Linked DNA regions of Rhinolophus ferrumequinum. The protein of the gene in region 4 binds, or shares a complex with, the protein of the main gene of each other region. Links are inferred from orthologs where the notes say so. Each region holds a gene or a part of one and is shown on either strand. Other genes may lie near its edges.

Region 1 (7,769 bases), on a different chromosome or scaffold from region 4:
CTCACCTTGGTTTTTGTCTGCTGATAACTTCCAAAAGATGAAGTGATCTGAGGTAGGTGGGAGCCCTCCCTAGATAAATCTGAATGTTGACTCTCCCTTAAATAAACAGAGTAGGGCAGATTCCACTCTGTGATGAAAGTGGCCTCTTTCAAATCCTCAGAAGCAAGTAGTTAAAGTGTGACTTAAAAAAAATATAATTTAACAATTCATCGACCTTGGACTGGAAATGTTTTCCCTCCTAATCTGCCCTCCTTACTTCACAAAGCTGTGATAAGGGTCAAATGAGATCACATATGAAATTGCCCCAGAGATAAAAATTAAACAAAAACAAAACTGAATTGGTTTTTGCTGTTAAGATTGGTATTTCTGTATGAGACTTGAATCCAAAATAAAAGTTTGGAAATATAATTTTAAAACGTTATTAATTTTTCGCACTTATTTTTAAATTACCTTTTCATTTTTCTATTGCTTTTCTCATTTACAGAAAAATTTTAAAACATGCTTCAGAGAGTTCCCTATACCTGTTTCCCAGTTTCCTCTGTTAGCATCTTACTTTTCCATGATTTGTCAAAACTAAGAAATCAATTCTAATAGTCACTATATTCTAACTTCCATACTTTATTCAGATTTCACCAGTGTTTACACTAGTGTCCTTTTTCTGTTGCAGGATCCCATCCAGTATGCATTGCATTTAGTTGTCTCATCTCCTTAGTGAGCTTTGGTAAGTTTCTTAATCGTTCCTTGTTTTGCATGATCTTGAATGTATAGATGAGTAAATTACTGATCAAGTATTTTGTAAAATGTCCCTCAGTTTGGGTTTCTACACTACTATTCTCAATAACTTTTTGTTGAATTTTACCTAAGCAAAATTTTACCCAAATGTCTCCTGCCAGTGGCTTTGGTTTTACTATAGAACAGCCCATTAAAAATAGGTTCCACTAAGAATCAGAGAATTAAATGGATCTGGGTAATTATATTGCCCCATACTTTTCATGTAATTCCTTACTGTGGAAAGCCTAAGTACCTTACAGATGCCATTTCCCCAGATCTCCGTACATTGGTGACAATTGATAGAGCCGTTTGCTAATCTTTAGTAGAACTACCATGAAACCAGCAGAGAAGTTTGACAAATTCAATGGATGTTATAGTGTGTGATGTTAGAATGAATCCATGGTGTTCATATTAATACATCAATTGATTATTCATCTAAATAATGGTTTTACTTTTCAAAAATAGCATTTATACTTTAATGCATGTTCAATGTAAAAAATTGGATAAATCTAGTAAAACTTAGTAAAGCACATTATAGGTAAAGTTAATTTATCTTGAGAATTGAATTATTTAATCAATAAGAGTTAAAAATGAAAAGAAAGGAGTGGGGAAAACTCAGGAACCTCACTTTCATATCCATCTATCTATCTATCTATCTATCTATCTATCTATCTATCATCTATCTATCTATCTCTATCACTCTCTTTCACACATATACATATCACACACATATCACATACACATATACACACACACTCATAATTACTTAATAGAAGCTTGATTAAAAGTACTTAAGTAGAGTCGGCCTGGTGGCTCAGGCGGTTGGAGCTCCATGCTCCTAACTCCGAAGGCTGCCAGTTCGATTCCCCCATGGGCCAGTGGGCTCTCAACCACAAGGTTGCCGGTTCAACTCCTCGAGTCCCCCAAGGGATGGTGTGTTCCGCCTCCTGCAACTAAGATTGAACAGGGCACCTTGAGCTGAGCTGCCACTGAGCTCCTGGATGGCTCATCTGGTTGGAGCGCGTCCTCTCAACCACAAGGTTGCCGGTTCGACTCCCGCAAGGGATGGTGGGCTGTGCCCCCTGCAACTAGAAACGGCAACTGGACCTGGAGCTGAGCTGCGCCCTCCACAACTAAGACTGAAAGGACAACAACTTGAAGTTGAACAGCACCCTCCACAACTAAGATTGAAAGGACAACAACTTGACTTGGAAAAAAGTCCTGGAAGTACACTCTGTTCCCCAATAAAGTCCTGTTCCCCTTCCCCGATAAAATCTTTAAAAAAAAAAAGTGCTTAAGTAAAAGATTATGAAAATTACATATAAAGTCAACAAAAAAGAATGATTATTATATCATTGGAACATTATAGAATTTAATTCCAAAAAACACTAAAAAATTATTCAGTTGCATAGTCATTAATTTGGAGACAATTCAATAATAAGAAATAAAGTAGCTTTCTTTTCTGAATAAGGAGATTGAAGAGAAATACAGTGTGACAGCATGAAGCAAGGTTAAGAAAAGTTCTTTTTTTCCCTCCTCACTTCCATAAGTGCATTTCGGAATCATTTCTGTGTATTTTAGGAAATTCTCATTTTCTCTCTTCAGCTATAACTTCCAGGAAAGCCATCTGGAATCAGGGTATTGATGAGTTCTAAAAATAAAAGTCCCATTAATTATTCTTGCCTAGATCATCATACCAATTTACTCACCTATCACAGTAAGCAACATGGTTAATAACAAACTTTTTTGCAACACCATTGAAAAGCAGAGGACAAGTAGAGAAAATCGGACAGACAAAGCAAGTAGCCTTGCCAATATTATCCAGTTAATCCTCTAGAGGCAGTGTCTGTTGTAAAAACCTGAGGCACAGGCCCGGAAAGGGTATTTTAAGTACCAGAATCTCCTACATTTTTATAATTCAGGCATTTCAAAATTTAGACATTAATTTTAGTACTTTCCAATGTGCACTTAATACTGTTGTAATAAAATATTTCCTGTCCAAGTACCATTATCTCCTTGTTATTAAAACAATAATAAATGTACAGTTTCATATAGATTTTTATGCTAAAAGACACAGTAAGTATTTCTCAAAAACATCTTGCATTTGTAGGCCTGAATTAAATCTGATCGCTTAAGGAACATTTTACGCAAAGCAATGCAGAAATGATATATCACTCTCTTCTCTGTTCTTTGAATATGCCTCGCAAATTTTCCCATTGTTTTGTATTAGATATAATCATATGAAATTTCAGATGTTCATCATTTTAATCTACACAAATGTCAATTCTATAAGGTTTAACTTCCTCGCTGCAAGTGTATTTGATTTCCTCACCAACTATAAGCAAGTTGAAGGTACCAGATTGTCCATTATTTACCTTTCTATTTGAAGAACATAGCATGAGGACTGACAAATAGTAGACATATTATAAATGGTTGTTACATCTAAACATATGGATTAGGAAGTAAACTGCTCTAAAAATTCAGTAAATTTAAAGTCAATTGGTCAAGAAAAGAATGTTCCTCTGTTTCCCTGGGATGTATTCCAGGAAAGGACAAATACCTCATTCAAAAGAAAGCTGAGAGTTTTTGTTTTGTTTTGTTTTGTTTGTATTTTTAAGGTATGTTTACAAAATGGCAAATATTTAGAGTGACTGGCTGTATATTTTATTTATAGTGGAACCCACTTATGCTTTCTTGCTCAGTGAGAGGCCACACCTTTTGGGGAGAATATAAAGACCAATAAAATATGTCAATTCTCAAGTTTATGATCTAGTGGAGGAGATGGACAACACTCCAATAATGCTAAATGCGCAAATGGTGCATGGCCTAAAGAAGTATGGAAGAACAAGAGATTGTTTCTATTTGGAAAGATGAAGTCAGATACTACGTAAGGTGTCTGGCAAAGTGCTCAGCACTTAGTAAATACTCAATAAATATTAGCTATTACTATAATCAGGATTGACTTCACACAGGAAACAGAATTGGAGGCAAGGTAAAATTTATAGGCAAATTACAGTATGCCCAGTGAAACAGGCGTTTCAGGTAAACCAAAAACAACAAAAAAAAGTTTTAGTTTTGCATGGGACATACTTACAATAAAATGTGTTTGTTGTTTATCTGAAATTCAAATCTAAGTGGGCATCCTGGGTTTTTATTTGCTGAAGATGGCAATTCTTAGCCAAGAAAAGTTTTGCTATGGCGATGAAGAGCAGAGAAAGTAAATTACCATGTCCAAAGGCATAGAAACAGGAGAGAAATGGTGTTTTTCATGGCACTTTATGTTCTCTAATAATTGTTAACACTTACTGAGTACTGTACTTAATATGTGGCAATCATTACTCTGAGGGCTTTACAGGCTTAATTCATGTATTCTTCATAAAAACGTGTGGTAAGTTATCATTATCCCCATTTTAAAAATGAGGAATCTGAGGCATAAAGAGGTAAAGCAGTGCATTCAAAAGCACAGAACTGGCAAATGATGTGGCTGGGATTGTGGCTGGGATGCTTGGATCCAGGGGCTGCTGTCATAACCATTTTGGATAGAGGAAAATAATTCGTTTAAGTTAAGCTTTTAGAAGCTCATCAAGGGCAGACTATCAACACAGTCATTTTTTAAAAGTCAGATCATCCAACCATAATTCCTACATAAAGTGCAATGTCATTTGTCAAATCTCTGCTTTAAAGTGGGCTACTGCTAGCCTGCTTCAGCCTCTCTCCATATTCCTTCAGGTACGCAAGTCTAGGTCTGTCCTCCTATGTTCACCTTTGGATTTCCAAAGTCACCTTGTTCCTGGAATGTGGGATCTTCCCCGAACTGCTGCTTTCTTTGCAACAACTTATTGAAAGCAAACAAGCGTGGGCGAATTGAGCAAGAACTTCTGGAACACCAACCTTGGAGAAGGAGCAAGGAATGTAGAGTGAATGTTGACCATCTAAACAGGACAACGGTAATGATTAATCCCATCTCCTGCAGATTTAAATGGGATGGGACCTGGGAGTTGACACAATCCTCTTTTCTTGCAGCTGGATTGCTGCTCATGAGCCAGTCCCACCCACAGAAAAGATGTTTTCCATGAGGATCTTCTGCTTGGTCCTGAGTGTGGTGGGAACAGTTTGGGTATGGTCCTCTTTATTTTCTCTTTTTTCTTTCTCTCTAGTGTTTATTCCACAAAGAGCTTGACAGTCTGAGTCAGTCTTATATATGTCTTCATACACTGTTAGCTTTCTAAGCTCTGGGCCCTGCAGGCCAGTTTGTAGATGGGCCTGACACCTCAAGAATACAGGGTAATATGACCCTAAGGGGCAGACTTACCCGGACCAAAGTGTACAAATTCACAGAGGAAGTTTTAATATCTGTAACTCGGTCTTACAACATTTTTTTTAAGGGAAAAAATCTTTGCCATCTTTGTTGCTATAAAGCCTCGAGATAGTTAATGCTAGCTAACAGAACAAAACATTCGCATGGTGAGAGTTTTGAAAATTCTTGATATTTGCCCATAATAAGCAGAACAGTAGTTTAATACAGTTTTTTCTGAAAGGTTGTTTTTGTGTTTCTTTTGAGACAAATAAAAAGCAAATTAGTTGTCTTTGCAAACACATTACATAGCAAAGTCAGAAGAGATTAACTGATAAACCCATATGCTTTTTTGGGAAGCAATTGTATTCTTTTAAGCTAATTACTAACTATTGCAATGATTCCTAAAGTTTGACTCCAGAAACCTACAGGAAAGAAGAGAAACTTAATTCAATAAGGTTTTTGATCTTATAAAAACATGATAAATATGTTTTAGAAAGTCAGTTACATCCAGTCTGTGAATAATTTCAGTTTATTTCTTTCCCTTCACCACTCATAATTCCTAATACCAGAGCAGAAGAAAACTAAAGAGAACTTCTAACTTAATTTTCTCTCTCATAATAAAACAATAACTAAACATTTTTAAGGGAAATAAAACTAACATCATTTGCTAAGATGATATTTTGGATAAGGCATAACTTTCAGTTATTTCTCCCTGTTACTGGCATAAATACAATTTAATTTTTGCTTGTTTTTTTTTGTTATGCCATTTAATTATGAAGTATGTTTGAATTTATAATTTTATTTCTTAGACAAATAGATTATACTTGTTCCTTTAGATAAGTTGTTCTTGATTGCTAGAATTAGTATTATTCTTATTTGGTTTTTTTTTTTAAATGAGACAACAAATATTAACTAATTATAAAAATAAACTTTCTGAGATTAAAATAGTCGTAGCAAAAATCTTTGTAAGTTGGTGGCACAAAATAAAAATAGCCAAAATCTAAAACCCACATTGATTTATTAGAATATAAAATCTTGTTGGAAGAATATTTTTATCTTATTTCACCCCATAGATCACAATAGATCTAATTGTAAGGTGTTCAAAAGAGTTGTCAGTCATAGACCATTATTTTTTCTTTCAGTTTACTTTTCCTCATTTCAGTTAAAAAGATACCATTACATGAGTGAGCAAACTAAAAAGCTTTTCTGAGTCTGAACTGGACACATTTGTGTTCTTAGTATATACTTGCTCAAATTATGAACCCATAAGGTCATCATAGAAACTTAAAGGACAGACTTTAAGCAAAGATAGTGTAGGCTTTTTCCTACTGAAACAGGAATTATAGGAGAAAGGATTCTTTGATTTTTTTTCAATTATCTTTCTATCTCCAGATATCAATGAAAATTAAAAGGTAAATTTTAACTCATTTTGTAGATTCACATAATTTTTCTTTTATAATGGAGACTTTAAAAGGCCTACCATTTGCTCAATGCTTGTTTAGTGTCAAACTCGGTTAAGAAATGTGTACCCTTTATCTCTTTCAGTTCTCACAACTTCATAAAATGGGTATTAGGATATTCATCCAAAGGATAAGAAACCTGAAGTTTATAGTGGCCCCAAAGCTGGTGCTGTTAATCTTTGGGAGAGGCCATCTTCTTTGAGTTTGACAAGCATGTCAATGTCTCTTTTCCTGCTTAATGTTGTTCTCTTCTGTTAATCTTTAAAGTCTGGAGAGACCCAAGAAGGTGAATTTCTAGCTGAAGGAGGAGGTGTGCGTGGCCCCAGACTTGGGGAAAGACAGCAATCTGCCTGCAGAGAGAGAGACTGGCCCTTCTGCTCTGATGACGACTGGGTGAGCAGTGGGCTTGGGGAACGACACAATCCTTCCTTGCTGGGCTAGAAGTGTGCACAGCCTGACCACTTAGGTCACAGGAAACGTTTTCAATGGAAAAAAATCAAATAGCTCCTTACACGTCAAATTAAAGAAGGCAAATGGAAAGGAATGTAGTCCTGAGAGCACTGTTTAAATTACTTTCAAATCTCTGGGTCATTAGTGGGATTAAGAGATTGGCTTTTAATTCCATGTACAGGTGGATACAAGGAACCTGATTATTAGGCTTCAAGGTTTCACTGGGCCTAATTTATGGTTAAATGGGCCCTCTTTCCAGAATTTCCTTATGATCGCTGATTAGCCCGTTCAAACGACTTTTAAATCAATAGATAATCTGAAGAGATTGGGGAAGAAAGCAATGGGAGCGGCAAGGAAACCTTTAAAATTGTACTGGAGCCAAGAGATAGACCCTTAATGTAATTATTTTTTTCTCTTCACTTTCAGAACCAAAAATGCCCTTCTGGCTGCAGGATGAAAGGGTTGATCGATGAAGTCAATCAAGATTTTACAAACAGAATAAATAAGCTCAAAAATTCACTATTTGAATATCAGAAGAACAATAAGGACTCTAATTCAGTGACCAGAAATATAATGGAAATTTTGAGAGGGGATTTTGCCAGCGGTAATCGTAAGTATTACGTATTTGATGCTTTGACTTTATAGTATACAACAGAAGAAACAACATCAAAAATCCTAAATAAATATAATATCTTCGTATAGCAACTGCAATTTTATTCCAAAGCACTTAGTGTAGAGACACATCCTTTATGATATCCCTAAATTTTTAAGGAGGGGCTAGTAATTTTGTT
Region 2 (7,163 bases), on a different chromosome or scaffold from region 4:
GTAAATGTGGGAGGCTGAAAAAAATTCACCAAGATACGTTAACTGCTACATGATAAATGAGAGTACATAAACATATAGATAGGGAAGGAGAGAGAGAGAGAGAGAGAGAGAGAGAGAGAGAGAGAGAGAGAGAGAGAGAGAGAGAGAGAGAGAGAGAGAGAGAGAATGGCAGGAGGGACTCAAAAGTGGGTCTGAAGACACACACACAGGGAAAAAAGAAAAAGTGTCCCAAATACTTAAAAAATAAATATCTTGGTCATCATCGATGACAGGATTACACTCACTAGTTCATCAGATCATAATCTGCGCAAAATGCTGTGGACCACTAACCCCTCTTGTACCCCATGGGGAGGGCATGGGACACTCTGCAGTCTCTGTCTTCATTGTACAATTGCCATCTCTGCCCAGTTGATCTGTGATCTCATGGGAGCAACTGGGGTGCATCCTCCTAATTCCCTCTCCCCAGCCATTCATGGAATCAGTGAAAAAAGGGGTGAGGTGTCTTTTCCAGTTCTGATGCCCGCTAAGGGTGGCCAGGGAGTAAGGCTGGGGGAGAACAGGGGAATAAGGCACTGGAGGGAAGGAAAGTCCAAGTCAACAACTGGGGTCAGAGAGGGAGGTCCCTCAGAGTTTCTGAGGCATTTGCTCCGTTCGTACGTGCTGCAGTACAACCTCTTTGGCTGAGGCCCCGCACTTGTACTCCAGCTGGGCCCTCGTGGCCCCTTGCTTCTTGCGCAGGTGGCAGAGGAGTGCCAAAAGCGCCACCACCAGAGACAAGCTAGCGATGGAGATGCCAATGAGCGCCCCAGAATGCATAGACCCTGCAGGCGACGGTCTCAAGGTTGTCCCAGGAGTGGGGCTGACCGGGAGCTCTCCAGAGCCGCCATCGTCGCCACCGCTCACCTTGATAGGGTCACAGTCGGTGCCAGTCCGGCCGGCGAGGGCCCAGTTGGGCCCGCAGATGCACTCATAGGTGCCGGGGAGGTTGCGGCACGCATCTGTGTGGGGGCAGTATTCATTGTCGCACTCGTCGATGTCGGTGCACATCCTGGAGTCCTCTTCCAGGATGTAGCCCTCAGGGCACCGGCAGAGAGTTGAGGTGTTAGGATCGCAGTCAGCTGGGCACGCAGTCTGGTTGCAGAACATCTGGCACCTGTGGGGGTCTTGGGGGTCGGGCACAAAGCCCTCCGCGCAGACGCAGCGGTAGTCAGTTTGGCCCACAGGCTGGCACTGGTACTCGCAGTTAGTCCCGATGCACGGGTCCACGGACTCCAGGCACTCGCCGTCTACCAGGTCGTAACCTTGGTAGCAGTGGCACTCGAAACCGCCCTTCGTGTTGACACAAAGCTGAGGGCACAGTCTGGGCACCTGCTCACAGTCGTCCACGTCCTCGCAATGGTGCTGGTCCGCAGCCAGCTGGTAACCAGTCTCGCACATGCATGAGTAGGAGTCGGGCACGTCCGGGTTGCGGACGCAGAAGTGCTCGCAGAGTTTGTCACACGAGTGCTCCCCAGGCGCGGAGCAGGAGCGCCCGTCGGCATTCAGGGTAAAATCGGCAGGACAGAGGCAGCGCGACACCCCGGCGCTTTGGTTACACGTGTGCTGGCAGCCGCCGTTCTCCACGCAGCAGTCCCAGGTGCCTGGCACCTTCCGGCCCCAGCGCGCCTCGGCCTCTCCCGGCAGCTCCTCGCACACCAGCTCCACTCCGAAGGGCGCCACTGCGGCGGAGCTACCCACCGGCAGCGTCTGGAAGTCCGCGCCGCGGGCCCCGAACGGGGTGCTGTAGGCGATCGAGACGCTGGCGGCCACCGCGGCGCTGGCCTCCACAGCCAGAGGCCTGCAGGAGGCTGAGAAATGGAACTCGCAGAGGAAGCCATCAGCCTCTGTGGTGCACTGTTGTTCCTCCCAGGCCGGCTCGCCCGGCGCGTGGGCCCCGGCAGCCGAGACCACGACGCACAGCGGACCGCAGAGAGGTGTTGGGTCCTTGTGGAGCAGCGCCCACCTGCTGTAGCTGGTGTGGTTGTCGCCCGTAACCCACTGGAAGCCGCGCAAGGGACCGAGGTACTCTGCGTCGCCACAGCCGGGTGGGAGCTGCAGGCCGATCCACAGGCGACGACCGTGACTGTCGTCGCCGCTCAGTAGCAGGGAGATGACATCAGCTGCCACTGAGGAGCGCACGGTCATCAGGTGGCCTCTCAGGCGCTCACAGGCCTGGCTGGCGGCGAGGAAGTTCTTGGAGTCCCGGAAGAGCGCAAAGCAGTCGTGCTCAATGCACTGACTGCCGCGAGGCTGCGGTTCTGGGGGTGCCCGAAGCCCCAGGGTGGCGGGGGCCAGAACGCTGAGGAGAAGGACCCGGAGCATGCTGTCCCGGCACCCCGCGTGCAGGTGCCAGGAAGAGCGCAGGCACCGCGACAGGGCTGGCGCCCCGCCCGGGCTGAGAAGCGCAAGGAGCTGGCAGCGACAGCGGCTGGCGTCTGTCCCAGAGCACAGGCGTCAGACCACTGCGCGCAGCCCCTGCGAGGCAGCCTCTGACATGCGGTAGGCCCTGGCCCGAGTTTATAAGTGCGCAGCCCTCCCTTTCTGAACGTTCGGGGAAAGGAAGGAAGTGCCTGGTGGGAAGGGCTGATGCTGCATTCTCGGATTACTGGGTTCTCCTGACGCCTAGTTCCCGCCCTCGCGCCTGGGATTACCTCTCCGGATGAGTAAACCCAGCCCCGGCGCTGGGCGGTCCCCGGGCGGGGTCGCCGAGCGCAGGAGCCACGGGAGGACAGCACTTCTGTCAGCCAGGCGATAGTCGTGCTCCTTCCACGCGGGCCACCAGGCTCGCAGTCCTAAAAAGGACTTAATCCGCAGCTTCCCCTAATCTCTTGGTCCACTTTTTTTTTTTCATAAATTCGTTGTACAAACCGATCTCAAGGACAGCCTGGATTGCAGAACTCTGGGAAGATGAGACGGGATGATGAAGGCTGTGAATGAAGAAGGGTGAAGGGAGTTAGTTCTCAGGACACGCGGGGCTCCGGGAGGAGCTGCTCCTCAAGAAGAGGGCTTTGGGAGGGGCTGCCTAGGGCGTAGACTTCCCCAAAGACAACAATCGCAAGGAGACAGCTAGACCCCGCCCAGGGCAAGGGCGCCTAGCTCTGGAAATTGCGGTGCGCTGGGCTCCAGAAGACAGAGGATGTGGCTGGGACAATGATAGAGGAAGCCGGGAGGGCTGACCTAACATCCTAACGCTGGTGCCCCCTCCCCCCACCCACCCACCCCTGCTCAACTAGGGACACAGGAGTCCCTGATCATGAGCAGCCAAGGCCAGACCTCATCTCATCATGTGGAAAAAAGTCTCCGGAATGCTGTCGTGCTCCAAGGTCCTGTCACCTCTCAGAAGCCATGGCAGGCAAATTTCTGCTGAGTCCCGTAGGGGCAGGCGTGTTGTGGGGAACGTTAGACAGTTTGGTCTGTTTTTGCCCAGCTTCACAGAGGTACAGTGCATCTCGCCTCCCCAAAGAGTAATCCTCCTCCGGGAGCCCTCGCCGGCAGGCGTTGTGGACTTCAAGGTGGATTCCACTCGAGTCTGTTAAGAATTTTTCCATTTGGCTGAAAGATCAGACTGATACAGAGGTGTATATAAGTGTCACTTGTGTGGCAAAGGGCATTGAAGAGGGCCCTGTGGACGTGCAGGGTGGAGAGAGCTGGGAGGAGAAGATGGCAATCTGTCACTTTGGTGACCTTTTCCTCTTATTCATTTACGGAGAATGCGGAGGGGTGGGTCCAAAACATAAGGGAGAGTGGTAGTGTGTGTGTGTGTGTGTGTGTGTGTGTGTGTGTGTGTGTGTGTGTAACACCCTATGCCTTCTCTCTGCTATGGTGACTCACAACCAAGCACCAGGAGGCGGCGCTGTTGAACTCTAAACAAAGCCAAAGAAGTCAGAGATCGCCAAACCTACACTGAAATAGTGGGGGAGGGGGGAGGAGAGAGAGAGGGAGAGAGTTGGGGGTGGTGGGGACGCCCGGAGGATTCCACAGCCCTGAGGATTCCACAGCTTCCGGGGAGCGGGGAAGAGTCTTGCCTCTCGGGTCCCTTTGTAAGAGCAGGAGAGTGTGGTGTCCTCACAAGAGAAAGACAAGCACCTGTCGGCTGGACTGTACTGACCTAGAGTAACCAAGGGGGGATGAGACATGGACACTCTGAAAGTGAAAGCAGAGAGGTACAATGGTCCCTCCCAACACTCCCTGATGCCTGGGCTGAGAGCTGAGACCTGCAAAGACCCGAGAATGTTCCTGCTGCGTGCTGCTAGGTCCTGGGAAAGCTGCCCCAGCTCCCACACAGAAACGGGAAGAGCAAGGCATGGAGACTGAGGTCTGAAGCTCCCCCAAACAGTGCAACTGCTCCTCTGAGAAGAGGAAAGAAAGAGCATCAGATTTTGGAGAATCCAGCTGTCCCCAGTGGGAGAAGGGCAGGTGCTGGCCTGACATCCCACACTGGCTGCCTGGGCTTAGTCAGAAGTCATGACTCCTGTGCACATCCCTCCCACACCAGGCTGACTGGAGTGCAGCCAGCCCAGGCCCAAGGCCTGCAGATATGGGCTGGAACCTTGCTGGGACACTGCTGAAAGATCTCAGAAAGGGGAGACATTGCCTGGATGAGTGAGGGGACAGGACAAGCTACCTCCTGGTTCCAATTTTACTAAGAATTTCAAACCTGTGACAAAACATTAAACAAAGAGTGGAGCCCTCCTGAGCCTGCCAGCCCTAAAAGGAGCGGAGGGATGTTCAAGCACCGGTTTTGCCCCACACCAGGCTGGTTCAGTTCTTGGATGGTTTCTATTTGATTAACCATGACTGCCTTTTGTGCAGCATCCTATTTAAGTCTCCTTGAGCCTATTATTGATTCTTGAAAGAAAAAGAAGAAAAAAAAGATTGGAAGTCTGAGAATAGCCCTAGTAACTGAGTCCACATGAGAACTCGATGCCTGTGGGATTTGGGCCAACTTTTTATAAGGAGGTGTTGGATGCTTCCATATAGAAAAAAACAAAAACATAAACAAAACAGGACAACAACTGAATGGCGTAGAACATGGACCGTGGGTGGGTCACCCTGCAAAAGGATGTGTGGATACCCCCATTTGGCCATTCCCATCCCACAGACTTTACCTCTAGTCCTCAGCAAACATCACCTCTGTCTTCAGGGGTGATTGCTCTCTACCAATCCTTTCCCCTCTCTAGTCATCACTTTGAAGCCTTTTTGCATGCTTTAACTACCCACGTCTTCTTCTCTACACTTCCTGTAGTAGCTGGGCCACTCCCTCTATCCCTATGTGGATGATACACCAGTTCCTGTGCTTAACCAGTCCCTGAGCTTGCCACCCTCACCAGGGTTCACCCACCCAGGACTGTTTTACGGAATAACCCCTTAAAGAACACTGATTGTCTCCTAAATACTGAAGCCAATAACGTTTTCAGTCTTCATCTTTCTAGACATCTCTGTGCAGTTTTCACTCTTGAGCCCTTGCTATTCTCAAGTCTGTTCCTCCCATGATTTCTGAGACACCTAACTTCCTGCCCTTCCTCTCCTCCTGCCTCGGTTGACCCCTCTCACCCTCCTGCCCCATGAGAGTGGCCGGTCCTCAGGGTTCTGCCCACAGACTTCACCTATCTCTTTACATCCTACCCTTTGTCAAATTAATGCATTCCCCTTGTAATGATATCAATGTCAAAGCAGACTGGGGGTGGGATGCCTAGAAGGGACTCCCAAACCATTCTTTCCCTGTATCAATATTTGAGCTACCCCACTTGAATTCGTCACTTCTGCGTCAGACTTCATCAGGTTCTCTGTCTTGTCCTTGCCCTTATCACTGCTCCGATAAGACAGCTCTTTTTCTGGCTTCTTTCCTTTTGGTTCTTCACCCCTGCTGACAGCACCTGGATCCTCACATCCCTCAGAGATGCCCATGTCCATGTCCTGCTAAGGGAAACCCAAGCTGCTTCCGCGCCCTCTACACTCAGCCTTGCCACACTGAAGGTGCTGACTCACTCTGCCTCTACTCTGGCCACAAAATAGGAAGTTTGCACTCAGGGGTCTGCATTGGGGTTTGGACCTAGTGTCCTGCCACTCACAGTTTTAAAGGCTGGTGTCCCATTGGCCCCCATGGGTGCTGAAAGCCCCAGCAAAAGGGACTCCTACTGACTGTGGAAGAAATGCCTCATCCCATCTCTCCTTCATCCCAGAGCTCCTGTCTTTTCATCTGCCTTTACCTTCTCTCTATCTACTGAAATTTGACCTTTCTTTCAAGGCACAGATGGCACACTGCCCCATCAACAAATGTTTCTCAGTAACCAAACCAGAACTGATCTCTCTGTGAAGTTCAGAGGACTTTCTTTCAGCACTTTAGCATTTATCACACCTTCCCTGCTTTATAAGTCATCATATACTTATGCTCTTTGCTAGATTCACAATCTAGTTTTCCTAGGGGTAGATCATTGTTCTTATGCATCTTTGTATCCTCATACAGGCAACAGCATGTTGTGTGCATAGGTGGTGTTCAAGCGTTATTTCAGTGACTGTTGCAGGTGTTTCTTTGTGCCCCCCTACAGTGTGACTTTCTCATGTCAACTTGTAAACACAAGATGGCAGACCTCAGAGCTTCAGAGTTAGGAGTATGGGCTTTGGAGCCAACGTGGCTGAATTTGAGTCCCAGCTTCATTATTTGTAAGTTGTGTCATATTTGGCAAGTAACCTGGCCTCTCTGTGCCTCTGTTTCTTCAATTATGTGATGGGGGTCATAATAGTTACCCCTTCAAAGTATTATTATATGGATTAAATGAGTTATACATGTAAAACATTTAGAACAGTTGAGCCATAGTAAACTCTCAATAAATTTTAGCTAAAAAAGGATACATGCAGATCCCTAGAAATTGAACTCAGCCACTGATTGTGTTCAACACCCAGCACAGTTCCTGTCCTTAGTGGAGATTCACTAAATGTCTGTTGGATGAAATGTAAGTCAGCTTGTTGCGGAAAAGCGGCGAGGACCAAGAGACTCAAGTGGCACGCAGAGATCAGGGAGAACACAGCTTTATTACGCCAGCGGGCTCAGCAGAATTATTCCAAAGACTGAGCACTTCCCGGGGTCGGGGGCTTTGTTTTATAGGGTTAGGCCTCCGGGTTTG
Region 3 (7,569 bases), on a different chromosome or scaffold from region 4:
CACGGTGAGGGAACACATACCTGCTGAAGCACAGTCCATCCATTTCCAGATTGATCTATTTCACAGTAGACTAAGAACTGCTGCTTAGAGGTCAGAGGTTTGATAAAGTAAAGCCCACTTTCCTTGGCTCCCTTATTGGCAATGTCTTGGCAATCTGAAGAAGAAGAAACTGTTACTGTGGTTTGAAATCCAGGAAAGACGGGGTCAGCCTTAAAAATGAGCTTTTAACATGTTGCACACTAGTCCTTTACCAAGAAGCATTTTCTTACTTCTCACCCCAGCTTTCCTTTCAAACTATTGTTAGCTAATCAAAAAAAAGTCTAAGCACTTGGACACCTAGATTTAATGGCTAGACACTTTCAAAATTACTTCTATATACTATAATACATAAATTCTCCTTTACTTTATATATTAGCTTTGATGGACATCATCCCAATATCGACCTTTCACTTACCTTTCCCAGTTGTCTCATGTATTTGCACGTCATCTTTGCAAGGTTCCTGACACTGTTCTTCAAGCTGGGCTACCTTCTGTTTCAGGTTAATGATCTTTTGATTGTTTGAATTATATATATCCTGCAAAAATCTACAAGCAGAAGAATAAGATAATAGAGTATTTCTTTCAGAGGCATAATTTTGCATTTTAATTGAAAAATACTACCTTATCTTCTCAAGAATTATTTCCTGGTAAGTTATTCCATTCTTAGTAAAATTATGTTACTAAATTGAGGTGACTTAAAATTCTAAGCTTTCTGGAAAAGAAGACAACAAAGTCCTTGTCAATAAAAAATGTCATTGTCGTTAAACAATGCTCATTCTGAGCAGATAACGACCCAAGTGGGTGAAGGGTCTGGTTAAAGGAAGACCATCTGGTGATTATTCTTATGATGAGATATTCTTAGGGAAAGAAAGACTGTTCATTAATTCACATGTGCAGAAGGAAGCATTATTCCTTTTCATTTGTGGATCTGCTGAGGATCTATTTAAGGACTTCAATCTATAATTTACCTGAGAAAATTGTCAGGGACATTATCTTACCTAAAATAAAACAATGAAGACACTTTCCCTATCTTCTTAATGTTTCTATTTACATAGCTTTGGGAAAAGGAGGCTGGAGGAGGTGAAAATCCCTGCTTTTGTAGTTTTTCACAGGGTTGCTCATACATATTCCAAAATGATAGAAAACTATCGACAATGCATAGATTGTTGTGTCTTCTTTGAAGTCAAGAAGAATAAACAAACTATCTGACCACTCCTTTTCTTCACTGCGCCTTAGAAAATTTCTGCACAATAGTCTCTTTCCATTACAATGATGGGCAATAATAATGTGACTTATAATGCTAGTAATAATCACAACAATAACCATGGCCCTCCGATACCAAAACGAGGAGAAATCCCTCCTGGGCCACTTCTTCCTAGCCACCATCCACCATTTAATGCCATTCCTTACCCTGCTTTGAAAACAATTTAGAAAAAAAAAAAATGAGGAAGAAACTAAAATTGCATCTGAAACCCTATGTTCAGAAAGTTTATGAGTCCCTGGAAAGTTGTTAACAGAGACATTTTACTTTCGAGTGAAGGTAGGAGAATATATAACTTCAGAGTCACTGTGCCATGATCAGTATAGCTTTACAATGCTTGTTACACTTAGTCTTTTAAAACACATGTTTTTCTGCTCTACCTTCAATGTAATTTACTTTTGTAGCCAAGATCCTTCCTGTGCCTCTTCTTGCTAATTCCTCACCACTGATTTGACAATCTTATAAAGAGAATTTTATTTTCAGCACCCAAATTCCCATTTGAATTTATATTGTTAGACAACTGGGAGTGGGGGGTACATTTTGATAAATATGGTCATAACAGCATTTGAAGACATTAGAACACTTTTCTCCCACATGATAACTAAAAAGCAATTATATAACCCAATACAATTCATGTTGCACTAAAAAATCCTACCTCCATTTTATGTTCAAGATGGTCAGGCATAATGCCAATTGGATATTATAAGGGCGGGTGGAGATTACTTCCACTGAGGTTTGGAATATTAAATAAAAAACTTTTATACTAAATTAAAAAAGTGTTAAATAAAAAAATCACTCTTGGAGAGTAAGTTAAAACACAAATGCTTACCGAATATTTGTTTCGTGTGCTATAATCGTTGCTTCATATTTCATAATATCTTCCGTCATTTTCTTGTAATTATTAGTAGCAGCCTCTATCCTATCTGTAATATGGGATCAGAAACATAAAAATGCTTAGGCAAATAGAACCACTAAAACAACATCAAAAGGACTTCACAAATTATTTTCTCAGTCAGTAGTATTTAGTTTCTCACTTGGCCGTGATGGTTTGTCAGGATCATAGATGACTTGGATGGATTTGATCAGTTCTTTGGCTTGTGATGTTCTGTTTTCAGCTTCACCTAAGATGTCTTCCAAAGTCTGTAGATCCTTGTCTATTTCGGTCTGGTAATTATTTAGGAATTCTGCAATTCCACATGTAGTCGGGCAATAGCTACCCTGAAAATACAACAGTAGAATGATTTGAAATCTGTATAAAAGCTACACTTAAAAATCTATTAATAAAAATAGGTAAAACTTAGACTGTGTTAAAAACAGAGTTTAAAATGCCAAATAACATTTGTGAAAGAATTCCTCTTATTCTTCTGCCCCTCTCCAGTCCAAACACAGCAAGAAACATAAAAACTACTTACAAATCTTTCATCTAAGATGCAGCAGTTGTCTCTGGAAGCGACATACTAGAGGAGAAAAATACAGAAATTTCACTAGTTTATCACATATTTTCTTATTTTTCAGCTTTCCATTTGAAACAAATGTATGTTGTGGACAGCACACTTACTGCCAGGCATGTTGAAGAGAGCAATGCAAAAGTGTAGAAGTAGAGGATTAAACTCCGGGGGTGCAAAGACCAACTCATGATGTCGGGGTGCCCTGTGCTCCAAGCCCTGTAAGTGTCAGCACTGTGGATTTTCAGGCTCCAATTGTCCCTTTATGTAAGTTCCGAGGTTGGCCAGAACTGCCAGTGGCTCCAGCTGATCACGGGGCCTTCTTACTGGGAAGTGGGGGGAAGTCTTTCCCATCTCTTTTTCCTCATCCTGACCCCCAGCCTATGCTCAGTCAGGTTCCCAGATGGTGTACACAGGTTTAAGCTCCTCCTTTTTGGCCCAACTCCACCTTTCTCCTCTGCAGCCAACTCATCTGCAAAGGCTAGTGAAGCATTAGCCATTGCTAAGAGGAGGGGAGCCTGGGAGGTTGTATGATGCAACGTCTTCCAGTATGCGGTTGGGAGAGCAAACACAGCGCTGACCTCTACCTGAACAAACCCAGCCAGCTGACCTCGATCAGAACAAACCCAACACAACCTTAAGATAGAGCCTGGTACCATAGCCCAAATTACGGAGAGCGCTTTCTTAGCCCAGGGATTAGGTAACAATTATTTTGAACCTGTGGCTATGGCAAGAAGACTTTGCTTTCCACGAAGTCCCAATTTGTCAGTATTCCTAGGAACAAAGGACAAAGGAAAATATATTCCTGGCCCTCTGTGCTGACCATTATCTTTTCTTCTTTCTTTTTTTTTTTTTTAATGAGATATAACTAACATATAACATTATATCAGTTTCAGGTGTACGACATAATAATTCGATATTTGTATACATTGCAAAATGATCACCAAATAAGTCTAGTTAAAATCCATCACCACATATAGTTTTGCCATTTTTTTTTCTCATGAAACTTTTATGATTTATTCTACTGGCAACTTTCCAATGAACAATACAGTATTATTAACACTAGACACCATGCTGTACCAGGACTTATTCATTTTATAACTGGAAGTTCGTATTTCTTGACCCCCTTCCCTTATATGTTGACCATTTTCAAGGTTCTCAGTGAGCTGTTAAGCTCGACTCTCCCTTTGTCTTGAAAAACTGGCTGGCATGGCACCACATTGGCCACAGAGGGAAAACGAGTCAGGAGCCTACCTCGTTTTTTCCTTAGTTTCCATCTAGTCACCTCAGAGGAAAGCCTGGATACAGAGGCAGGGACTAGAAAAATCCACCTCTCATACATGTGACTAGAAGCATAGCAGGAAGAAAAGGGGTAAAATGAGATATTAGAGAAGGGCTGTACTGTTTGCTCTGCCCCTAGAGCTTCCTGGTATATTGGGAAAACACATTTACCATCGTCTCCTATTGATAATTGATAATTGTGCATTTCCACTATTATAAATATCCCTACTTTTGGGTTATCCCTCATTTCCTCCTCTGAAACTAAGCATTGCAAATTTTGATTAAACACATTAGTGGAAGAAATACATCTAGATTGAAAGAAATGCTAACACTTTAACCCTAAATCTTTACGAAGTTATGTTTTGACTTGAAACAAAGATAAATGTTCCTAGTTAGTATATAATTAATGATTATTATAATCAAGTGAATATATCAAAACAGATTTGTTGCCTTTTCTCTCCTCTTTAATACTTCCCTTCTCTGACTTCCCAGTTATTGCCAATCATATCATCACACCACCAGCCAATTAAAGTTTCCCAATCTTCCTCATCTCCTTACCTATTTGTCTATTTAGTTGTCGAAGCTTGTTTTTAAAACTATTTTCACAATGTCACTTTTATTTTATTCCTAATTTCTATTTCCACTGCCAACATCCTAGAGGAGGCCTTCTTATTTCCTGTCTAGACTGCTTGTCTGATCTCTCTTCCTCCACTCCAGTCACTTCCAGCTCGAAACCATTTGTCACACTGCTGACACTGTAGAGCTACACTGTAGCTCTCATTATGACACTCACCTGCTCAAAAACCTTCACGACTCCCTATTTCCCACTATAATGAATATCAACATAATGATTCTTCCTTCCTACCTTTGCTGCTTTCTCTTTCTTGAGTCCATTTCCTATACCTTCTAGTCTACCCAGTGGAATCACATAACATTCCCCTAATGTGCAACATACAGTGCTCTCAGACTATTTTTTTTCATATGTAGCTGCCTCTGCCTGGATTGCCTTTATCACACTCCTGCATCTCTGCCTGCTAAATTGCTATCCACCTGAAGATCCTGTTTCGTGACATCGATGCCCTCCAAAACAAAATCCAAAACTCCAGAGGCCAGCTCTTCCTCTTTCATGGCATTTATAGCAACCCTGTATCGTATATGTACACAGTGTCCATCTCATTAGATGGTAAACTTATTTTTATGGTTACTGCATCTAGCACAGCAATATTTAACACTCAATAGTGATTTGATGGCATTAAATTAAATTGCGATGAAAGTAAAGCTTTAAAGTTTATACTTCTAATATCTCTCAAAACTTTCAAATTGCAAAAATAAATGACTTTGGCAAGGGTAATTATGTAAAAGGAAATAAATAATCAGAAAGTAGCTACTGATAAGGTAGGTGTGTAAAATTACTAATCAGAAATCAATAGCTATCATCCATGAAAACAACAACCAGTTAGAACACATAATGAATGAAAACAATCTCACTTACAATTTCAATTACACACATACAAATAGATAAAATATCTAAGGAAAAATTTAACAAATGATAGGCAAAATAAATATCATTAAAAATTCCAAACAATAGGGATATAAAATAAAAATTGGACAAATGAAAAATCATGCTCTATTTCTAAATTAAAATGTCAGTGATTTCCATGATAATTTATAACTGTACTGATATTTCAATAAAACTATAAACAAGATTATTTTTTTCTTTCTCCTTCTTGTTTTCTTTCCTTTTTACAGAATTAGTTTAAATGATAAAAGAAAAAATTATCTTGGAAATTTCTAAACATGAAGAAGGAGGACAAAAATCTCTCTCAAATAGTATATAAAACACATTATAATTCCATAATTTTTTAAACAATATAATACTGGTCCATATTAGGTAGATAAGTACTGTCAAGACACAGGACAAAGTATATTTTGAGGTTTACTATGATAAAGTTGGTATTACATATCAGTGAAGCTAGAAAAAATTATTAAATATATGGCATTAGTATGGTTTTAGGACAACTGGGAAGCTTTCTGGAGGAAAAAAATTAAGAGACATGCATACTTAACTTTTTATACCAAAATAAATTACAGATTAACAAATATTGAAATATAAAAGAGGAATCCACAAAAATACTGGAAGAAAATATGAGGAAATCATAATACTTGAGTACGGAAGGTCTATCTAAAATATGACACAAAAGCCCAGAAAATATTCATGAATTTTGACTACCTTAAAAAAACAACAACTTCCCAGCCAAACACGAAATCAAAAACTACTATGTAAAACATTAAAGGCAAAATACAAAAAGACAACAGAATGCATATACATACATGTTACCATATACATTGAATATCATTTCAAGATTACACACGAGACTCCACCAGTGTTTGCCTCTGTGGAGAGGTATGGGACAGAGAATGAAGGACAAGATTGGAAAAAAAGGGCTTCATTTTCTCTGTATACTTAGAATTTTGAATATATGCACATATTACCTACCCAAAATACACGTAATTAAAATATGTAATTATTGATTATTCACAATGATTTATTTGTTGTATTAGTAATTGTTTCTTGATATTTTAAAATTTGAATATAAAAGGTGACTACGGCATTGCTTTTTAAGAAGACTATATAGCTCAATTGGGAATATGCATAAGCAGTTGTTAAGAACTTTGGACTCCGTACTCCTGAGTTTGAATCTCATCTCTACAACTTACTATGTAGCTATGTCACTCAGTACAAGTTACTTAACCTCTCTGAGGTGCAGTATAGTGTTAGTAAAATAGAAATAGTATTTATAATAATACTTCATAGGACTGTTACCAGATTCAATGAAATAATGTGCTGAGCACATTGCCTGATCCACAGAAAGTGCTAAGTAAATGTTTATAAGGCTTATGAATTAACAAGTGTTCTAAAGTGACAACAGATTTTTGTATTTCATTTCATAAATTTGTAAGAGGGGCCATTATTGGTAGATTTAGCTCACGGGGAACAAGCTTTGTTTTTCCAGCTCTAGAAAGTTCTCTAATACATAATCTGTTGCAACTAACTGCAGGCTGATTCTGTAATGCTTCCAGAGAAGAAAGCATCTGGTTGTCTAATTTAGGTGTAGATTCTACCTAAACTAATTCCACCAATCAAAGACTGCAGGCCTTCTGAGAAGGTGTACTTCCTATGAGTAACACAGTTCAAGCAAAGTGTGTCAGACAGAGCATACTGTCAATGTGGTTCTTTTTGCTGAAACCCATAAAATATTGATTTGTTGAATTTAAGGTAACACATAACTTTGTGTTAAATCTTATGTATATAATATATAATCTCATATGCACAGGTTGATAAACAGCTAAATTGAAGAAATTGGAAATTCTATCTTACTTAATTTTAGAATAGTACTTGTATTCTTGGCTTTTTGCTGACTTGCCTTGGAATCTGAGATATGTTATGACAATGTTAGAGAAAAGACTTACTTTTTACCACAATCTCAAGTCATAAATCAGAGTCCTCGTAGATAAGATGTCCTCTGAGAGAAAATGGCCAAC
Region 4 (7,429 bases):
CTATAACTCATGAGAATTTAAAAAAATATAGCCATGTGTCAAATAATACTTAACTATATTAACAATAATGCTTTCCTATTACTGAGATCCAAATCTATATTCAAACTTTTTTGTTTGTCAAAAAAAGTCTTTTTTTTTAATTTTTTAATTTTTTATTTTTTTATTCAAAAAACTAAACCAATGATGGTAATTCGATTTCCTTTGTGCATTTGGTTTTTAGATTTCTCTTAGGTTTCTATTATTCTGAACAGTCTCTTTCATCCACCCCTTTTATTTCCATGTCATAAATTTGTCAGAGAAACTGGAGTTATTTGTCATGTCAAGTGTCCCTCATTTCACCACGATGTGGTGGTCTTATTCTTTTATCATCTATATTTCCTGTAAACTAGTAATTAAAACAAAGCTTTGATTTGATCCAGGTTCGCTAGTTTAGGAAGAACCCTTCATAGCCAGCATTGTGTATTTCCAGTTTTATTATCATATCACATAACAGTGCTGTTTATTTAGTGCTTACCATGTGGCAAGCATTGTCATACTTCACAAACATGATTTATTTGGGGGGTAAGTAGTTTAGTTTTTTTGTTTTTCTAATGCAGTATTTATTTGTCTTTCCTCGGTCAAACCCTGAGCCTACCACTTTTCCCCAGGCTGCCTGGGGAAGTATAGGAAAAGGAACATACAGGGCAGATGAGACGGGAGAAAGAACTATGGGAGGTGGAGACGGCTCCTTCTCATAGTAAGGATGAGAAAGGCCACCATCAGGCAAAAGAGCTGCAGGGCCTCAGAGGGCAAAGCCAAGAATGGCGTAGGAGAAGAGCTGTTGCTTTAAAGAAGGGTTCCTGGCATAACGAGTGATGAGGCTCCCAAACACGGTCCCAATTCCAGCCTCAGCCCCAGCCCCAATGCACTTGGCTACTGTGTTGATGTCCTTTGAAATGGCGCCTGTTTGGAGGCTGCGGCTAGAAATAAGTGCGGTCAGAATATGTGGGGCTGCCAAGCTGCTGAGGCTCTCATCTGTCAGTGTCTCAGGCCGTTTCAACACCACTACAGACAGTGACTGGCTGGCTCGGCAGCTGATTGGTGCTCCTGACCAGGGGGTGGAGACAAGCCCTGCGCAGGCGCACATTTTCAGGGGATGAGGGGCTGTGGCAGGAGAGCTATTCCCAGAGCAGAGAAGAGGACTGGTTTAGTTTTTATTTAATAATGATAAACTTAACTCTGAATCCATCTAGACCTGGAGGGAGATAAGGATGGAATCCAAAGAATTGCAGCAAGCAAGAACACAAAGATTACAGGATGTGAGAGCTGGAGTTATTCTCAGGAACAAAAGGAATCGTTGGAGATAAGATAAAAACAAAATCAAACTGAGAGTGGCCTCGAGTCTTCTTGCTGGTCTTGCCATTCCTGGATCCAAAGCGCCCCTTCGCTTCTACAATATGCATGCCGTCTCTCTCCTGGCCAGAACTCCTGCTTGCCATCCAACCCATCAGTCTTCACCGTGCAGATGACACACTGGGAGCCATTTGGGTTGGGTCCAGCATTTGTCATGAATGAGATGGCAAGACGCATATTCTTCAAAATGAAGTTCTCCCCCTAGATAGACTTGCTGCCGATACTATTATGGTGTGTAAATTCATCACCCTGACAGGTAAACCCAGAAATAAGTCTAGGAAAGCAGGAACCCTTATAACCGAATCTCATCTTCCCAGCGCTCAGAGAACTGAAGGATTCTGCTTTGGAACATTGTCTGCAAATAGCTTGAAGAAGACGTGGCCCAACAAGTTGACCGTTAATGGCCATGTCTACACGTGGCCTTGGCGAAGCTGCCACTCCAAATAAGAGTCAGCAAAGAGTCCAGCATGATCTTACTTAGCTGCAAGTGAACATTGGTATAATTCTGGTTTTACAGATGGTGAGACCAAGGACTGGCCTCCCAAACTAGTAATGTCTTCCGTGCTGTGGTGCTGGTCTGTCAGGATTGGGGATTTCTGACAGTGAGGAAACAAGGGGGCAACCCCCCGGGCCCCCAAACCCTCAGTAGAAGAGGTGCCATGTGTTACGTGTTTTGTCCTTCTCCCTGCTAACACCCCACACTCCTCCCACACCTGCCCCTTACCTGTTCTCCCTCTCCAGGTTGAGTCAGCAGTGGCCCAAGCTGGTCCTCAGAAAAAGAAGGACCACTTACCTCCAGACAGGAAGGATGAAACCACACCTCTCTTCTCTCCACTTCTCAGGAGCCCTCTCCCTTTCTTTACTCAACATGGAATTTTTAAAGAAATTAGTGAGGTGAGATCTTTTCACCATTCTAGTTAAAAAAAGGGAGGGGGGATAGGCTCAATGTCATTAGGAACAGGGATACAGATTAAAACCACGATGAGACACCTACATGTCCGTCAGAATGGTTAATACGAAATGGCTGGATAATGTAAGGTGTTGGTGAGGATATGAGCAGCTGGAACCCGCAGACGTTGCTGTTGACACTGTAAACTAGCACAGCCACTTGAAACAATTATTTGTCACAGCAACTTAGCCGAAACATATGCCTGCTGTATGAGCCAGCAAAGCCACTCCTGGGCCTGGAGCCGACAGAAACAAGTGCTTATCAGTCCCAGAAGACTTGTACGTGATTGTTCATAGCACTCTTCACAATAGCCCCAAACTGGAAACTGATCCCAGTGCCCAATCAACAGGTGAATGGAAATAAGATGTTCCATAGTCATCCAATGAGAGACGACGCAGCTTTTAAAGGAAGGACTGCTACACGCAGCGTGGATGAATCTCAGAAACGTGCTGAGCGAGAGAAGGCAGACACAAACAGGTATATCCTGCAGGTTTCCATTAGATGGAGTTCAAAAACAGGCAGAACGGGTCTGCGGTGATGGTGGTTAGAATAGAGGTTCTCTTAGGGATGACGCAAAGGAGGCAGTTGGGGGCCGGAAATGTTCTCTCTCAATCTGGTGATGGTTCCATGGGTGTGCGCATGAAAATTTGAGTTAAACACTTAGGATTTGTTTTAACATTATGGTATATACGTTAAATCTCACCTTAAAAAAGAAAAGAAAAGAAATATATAACATAAATATATATAAATCTAAATGTAGGAACTGGGCAACCCAGGAATTAAGCTGATTCGTGGGAGTCCTGGTCCCCAGTTCTCTGCATTGGGAAGAGCCCTCCCTGTGATCTTCCCAGACTGTACAGAACCGCAGTCCAGACCCTGAACGGTCAGTCCCGAAGGACAGCCAGGTAAGAATCTGTGTTTCTGCTCTTTGTCCCTCTGTCCTACTTAGACCTAGGACTAATATTTACCTTGTGTACTGTAAACAGGAAGTGGGGGAGGGGCGGGAGCAGGGCTGGGCAAGGGGCAGTGTGGGACCACCAGGTGCTGTAGGCTGGCCAGGCCTACAGGGGGAGCAGGAAGGGCCCCACCGTGAGACCCTGGGAACTGGGTTGGCCCCTGTTTCCAGAAGCCAGGCAATAGGTTCTAGGAGATGAGAGGAAGCAGAACAGAAGCCTAGGAGGCCTGGCCCTGACTCCTCCTCCCGGGCACCCCTGCACACAAACACTCCTCCACAGCTCCCCAGGTGGGAGGCAGGGAAAATGGGACCTTCCTTCCGTGGCTGAGAGGCTGAGAGCAAATGTTGGCTGTCCCTGCCCCAAGTGTGTCCTAGGGCAAGGTGGGCAGCGCTTTGCTGACTTCACCCTTGTCTCTCTTGTATCTGTTTGTGGGAATCACACAAACCTCCCTGTTGGTTTACATCCATGTACCTACTGATTAGTAAGCACTTTCATGGGCTTTCCATTCACAATCTCCTTTAATCTTCCCATCAAAGTACTCTTCCCATGTACAGATAAGGAAACTGAGGCACACAGGGATTAAAGCAACCGTCACCATATGTTAGGATTGGAAGGAATTGCAGAGACCTTGTGAACCCACTGGCCGCAGTTGGCACATGTTCAGGGAAGTGGGGGCTGGATGATGGTGGTTACATTGGTCTTTCCTTTGGGACTTCCTCCCAGACCATCCATCTCTGGTCCTAGGAGGACCTGTGCTCCCAAATGGCGGGTGGATTACCCTGTTTCCCAGAAAATAAGACCTAGCTGGACAATCAGCTCTAATGCGTCTTTTGGAGCAAAAATTAATGTAAGACCCGGTCTTATTTTACTATAATATAAAACCTCGTCTATAATAATAATGTAATATAATGTAATATAATATAATATATAGTATAGCATAATATAATAATACCAGGTCTTATATTAATTTTCGCTCCAAAAGATGCATTAGAGCTGATGGCCCAGCTAGGTCTTATTTTCGGGGAAACACAGTATCTATTCACTTGTCCCCATGGCCCTGACCTGCTGACCACTTCCTCTCAGCTGGTTTCTTCATAGTAGTTTAACATTAACCTGAGAGGTCAGGATGAGCCCTCTGCGTCCCAAGCCGACACACTATGGCGCACGTCCGAGGCCCGTGGCTACCTGGCTGCCTGGCCTTGGCTGCCCTGTTTAGCCTTGTGCACAGCCAGCATGGTAAGGGGGGCTTGGAAGCTGGGATAGGCTGGCAGACTGGGATACGGGCCCATGGCTGAGGTCCCCTGGCTCGATAGAGAGCACAGAGCCAGCCCCAGGTGGGCCTCAGCCACAGTATCCAGCTTAGGGAAGGAGTCCAGTGCTCAGATCTGGCCAGACAGTGACGACTTCTCTCTTGCCATATGGGGAGTGGACTGGGGTGACCCATGAAAGGAGGGGAGCTAGTGGGCTACCATTAGCAGCCTTTCAGGTCCTGCCGCCATCCCAGACACCCCTTTTCAGAAGCCAGCAGGCCAGGCCAGGCTTGCTTCCTGCCCCCACGATGGCCAAGACAGCCAGGCTGCCTCAGGCCACTGTCCCATGCCCCTCCTACTGCAGTGTTCCTGGACCCTCAGCAAGCAATGTCGCTGCTCCAGCGGGTCCGACGCGCCAACAGTGGCTTCCTGGAGGAAATGCGCAGGGGCAACCTGGAGCGAGAGTGCATAGAGGAGCAGTGCAGCTACGAGGAGGCTTTCGAGGCGCTGGAGTCGACCAGTGCCACGGTGAGGGAGGGAGGGCCAGGCTGCTCGGACGAGGGCCGGGATCCCTCCCAGTGGGCCCAACTCTAGGAGCACAAGTGAGGGGAGCGAGGAGCATCCCAGCTCTTTAACCTCATTCTATCTCTGGGCCCCATTTCACTGGCTGCCAAGGTGAACAACCTGTGGACCTTGGAGGTCCAGATGTCTGGTCTTGGGGGCTGATGAGGCTCCAGGACATCGGGAGGCCTCTCAGGCTTCAGACATCTGTCTACTTCAAGATCTCTGGAGCCTCTGCCCCCGTGGCCTCTCTGCTTCAGCTTTTCTGCTAAGTCTCTGCGATCTTGGGGCGTGGGGCTCTGGTGGGGCTGGGAGCCCTGGGCCTAGGCCTCTCTGTTCCGGGAACCCTGCAACCTTTCCCTTCCTTGGGGCTCTGCCTGAACCCCACGGCCAGCACCCCATGCCCTCTCTTCTCTAGTCTACCCCACCCAGGGGAATCCCTTTCAGACTTGGGTGCGGGTGGGAAAGCTCTCCTCTCTTTAGTGGGCCGGGGCAGTTGGAAACAAAAGCAGGAAACTGCCACAAACCTTCCCAGAGTGACCAGGGTAAGGGAAAGAGAAAAGTATAAGGAGAAGACATAATGTTTACTAAAAACCAAAACACAACAGCATCCTGCCATAGCCTCATGCTCAGCCCTTGCTTTTCAGGATGCCTTCTGGGCCAAGTACACAGGTGAGCACTGGGAAGGGTCTGCTTCAGGAAGAAAGTCCTGGGGACCCCACTTAGAGAATGTACTACTCTATGGTCCATCCAATCATCCACCCCCACCCCTGCCTCTTCCCTCCCTCACACCCTCCCTCCGTCCCTTCCATCTGTCTGTCCATCTCTCTGTTTCTGAATGTCATCCCACCCTTTACTTGAGCCCACCTTGTCCTTACCCCAACTCCAAATGTGTTTCTGGGTCTTTTCCAGCTTGTGAGTCGGTGAGGAAACCTCGAGAAAAGCTCGTTGAATGTCTGGAAGGTGAGGAATCAATGTGGGGGTGGGAGGTCAGGATATGAAGGGGACTGCCTGGGAGGAAAGCAGAGGCGTGTGGGTCAGCAGGTTGCCCAGCGGCGGCAGCCCCCAGCTTCTGATTCTGCCTTTCTGTTCTGCTGTCAAGGCTATTTTGCACCTAGCTCTGGTAAGATGATTAATGTTGAAGGAACAAATGAATGAATGGATAATGAATTAATGTTCAAGGCCTCATTCTCATCTGAAGCCCTGTCCATGCCAGTCTTCCCCATGTCTCCAGGGCAGAGCTCCGAATATGTCACATTCATTCTCCAAAACCTTGAGTGGCTGCCCCGTGCCTCCAGCATAAAGCACCAGCTTCTTAGACTGGCAAACATTGCAGGTTCTGGCCTTAACCTCCCCTTCTAGCGTTATCTTCCATTGCACCAACCGTGAACCCAGACCCCAGCTACTCTGACAGCAAGCTCTTCTCCGAACATGCGAAGATGGTCCTACTTCCTGGATCTTCCTTACATTGTCATCTTCCTACTGAAAATCTCCCTGTCCTTCAAGGTCTAGTTCAAATGGCACCACCTTGCTGAGCCTTCTGAATACACTGTTAGTGTGACGATGGACCCCACAACATGAACTCTTTAATCACTGGCCATACTTTCATTTGTTAAATCACTTATTAACAGACATTTCACTACGCCCCTGCTAGGTGCCAGGCACTTTGTCAAGTGCTGGATGTTTTGAGAGAATCAAGAAGCTCACAATTTCATAGGAAAACAAAACCATAAAACATCAATGTAATTGCAGGAAACATTCTGTTCCAGGTACCAAGAGAATGCCAGGAGAAAGAGCCTTTAGTTTGCTGACAGAATCAGGGACAGCTCCCCAGAAGCAGCAGAGTTTTACCCGGATTTGTGAGATACATTGATGGACAAACAGGAGAGCATTCCCAGGCAAAGAAAATAGCATGTGCAAAGGCCCTGAGGCACGAGGCGCTAAGCTGACAGGATAGGTAGACCAGGGTCAGGTTAGGCCTTGTTCACTTTTTCATCCTGCTGGCCATGAGGACCCACTGAATATAAGCTCCATGAGGGCAGGGACCTACTTTAATCATGACTGTCTTATTCATCACTATGTCCTTAGTACCTGGCACTGCGCCTGTCCCTGTGTCACAGTAAATATTTGGTGACTACTGTTAAATGGATTGGAGTACTGCTGAATGCAGAGGAGGTGCTGAGTAAGTGCAGGTTAAGAGTTGTGAGCCAGAAGGAGTTTGGAAGGGGTAGATGGAGCTTTGCTAAGACAAAGGGGGGGGACGGACTGGGGTCTCTGCAGGTAACTGTGCTGAAGGTCTGGGTATGAACTACCGAGGGAAT

The links.
Region 1: the proteins of F2 (region 4) and FGA are in contact, whole or in part, in a crystal structure (PDB 2A45), measured with the Homo sapiens proteins. The link is inferred for Rhinolophus ferrumequinum from reciprocal best matches to the Homo sapiens genes F2 and FGA. Residues at the interface, in NP_000497.1 of Homo sapiens: Phe382, Lys384, Ser385, Gln387, Leu423, Arg425, Tyr434, Glu439, Lys440, Ile441, Ser442, Met443, Lys470; in NP_000499.1 of Homo sapiens: Trp52, Pro53, Phe54, Cys55, Ser56, Asp57, Glu58.
Region 2: the proteins of F2 (region 4) and THBD are in contact, whole or in part, in a crystal structure (PDB 1DX5), measured with the Homo sapiens proteins. The link is inferred for Rhinolophus ferrumequinum from reciprocal best matches to the Homo sapiens genes F2 and THBD. Residues at the interface, in NP_000497.1 of Homo sapiens: Phe382, Ser385, Pro386, Gln387, Leu423, Arg425, Thr432, Arg433, Tyr434, Arg436, Asn437, Glu439, Lys440, Ile441, Met443, Lys470; in NP_000352.1 of Homo sapiens: Ser424, Cys425, Glu426, Cys427, Tyr431, Ile432, Leu433, Asp434, Asp435, Thr440, Asp441, Ile442, Asp443, Glu446, Asn447, Gly449, Phe450, Asp479.
Region 3: the proteins of F2 (region 4) and FGG are in contact, whole or in part, in a crystal structure (PDB 2HWL), measured with the Homo sapiens proteins. The link is inferred for Rhinolophus ferrumequinum from reciprocal best matches to the Homo sapiens genes F2 and FGG. Residues at the interface, in NP_000497.1 of Homo sapiens: His450, Pro451, Arg452, Arg461, Arg486, Ala489, Ala490, Leu493, Ile530, Val531, Glu532, Arg533, Cys536, Asp546, Asn547, Met548, Phe549, Cys550, His605, Phe607, Arg608, Leu609, Lys610, Lys611, Trp612, Lys615; in NP_068656.2 of Homo sapiens: Pro439, Ala440, Glu441, Thr442, Glu443, Tyr444, Asp445, Ser446, Leu447, Tyr448.

Annotation. Positions count from the first base shown.
Region 1 is NC_046301.1:25,420,026-25,427,794, reverse strand, and holds the start of FGA (fibrinogen alpha chain), read left to right. Parts: upstream 1-4,761; 5' UTR 4,762-4,834; coding exon 4,835-4,888; intron 4,889-6,795; coding exon 6,796-6,921; intron 6,922-7,404; coding exon 7,405-7,588; intron 7,589-7,769. UniProt on the Homo sapiens protein: Cleaved by the protease thrombin to yield monomers which, together with fibrinogen beta (FGB) and fibrinogen gamma (FGG), polymerize to form an insoluble fibrin matrix. Fibrin has a major function in hemostasis as one of the primary components of blood clots.
Region 2 is NC_046306.1:43,502,205-43,509,367, forward strand, and holds the start of THBD (thrombomodulin), read right to left. Parts: upstream 3,018-7,163; 5' UTR 2,362-3,017; coding exon 625-2,361; 3' UTR 1-624. UniProt on the Homo sapiens protein: Endothelial cell receptor that plays a critical role in regulating several physiological processes including hemostasis, coagulation, fibrinolysis, inflammation, and angiogenesis.
Region 3 is NC_046301.1:25,437,494-25,445,062, forward strand, and holds the start of FGG (fibrinogen gamma chain), read right to left. Parts: upstream 3,006-7,569; 5' UTR 2,937-3,005; coding exon 2,859-2,936; intron 2,758-2,858; coding exon 2,713-2,757; intron 2,519-2,712; coding exon 2,335-2,518; intron 2,224-2,334; coding exon 2,130-2,223; intron 586-2,129; coding exon 455-585; intron 155-454; coding exon 21-154; intron 1-20. UniProt on the Homo sapiens protein: Together with fibrinogen alpha (FGA) and fibrinogen beta (FGB), polymerizes to form an insoluble fibrin matrix. Has a major function in hemostasis as one of the primary components of blood clots.
Region 4 is NC_046294.1:14,304,402-14,311,830, reverse strand, and holds the start of F2 (prothrombin), read left to right. Parts: upstream 1-4,411; 5' UTR 4,412-4,454; coding exon 4,455-4,533; intron 4,534-4,911; coding exon 4,912-5,075; intron 5,076-5,755; coding exon 5,756-5,780; intron 5,781-6,020; coding exon 6,021-6,071; intron 6,072-7,388; coding exon 7,389-7,429. Other genes in the region: ATP synthase F(0) complex subunit C2, mitochondrial-like, read right to left, coding at 782-1,126. UniProt on the Homo sapiens protein: Thrombin, which cleaves bonds after Arg and Lys, converts fibrinogen to fibrin and activates factors V, VII, VIII, XIII, and, in complex with thrombomodulin, protein C. Functions in blood homeostasis, inflammation and wound healing.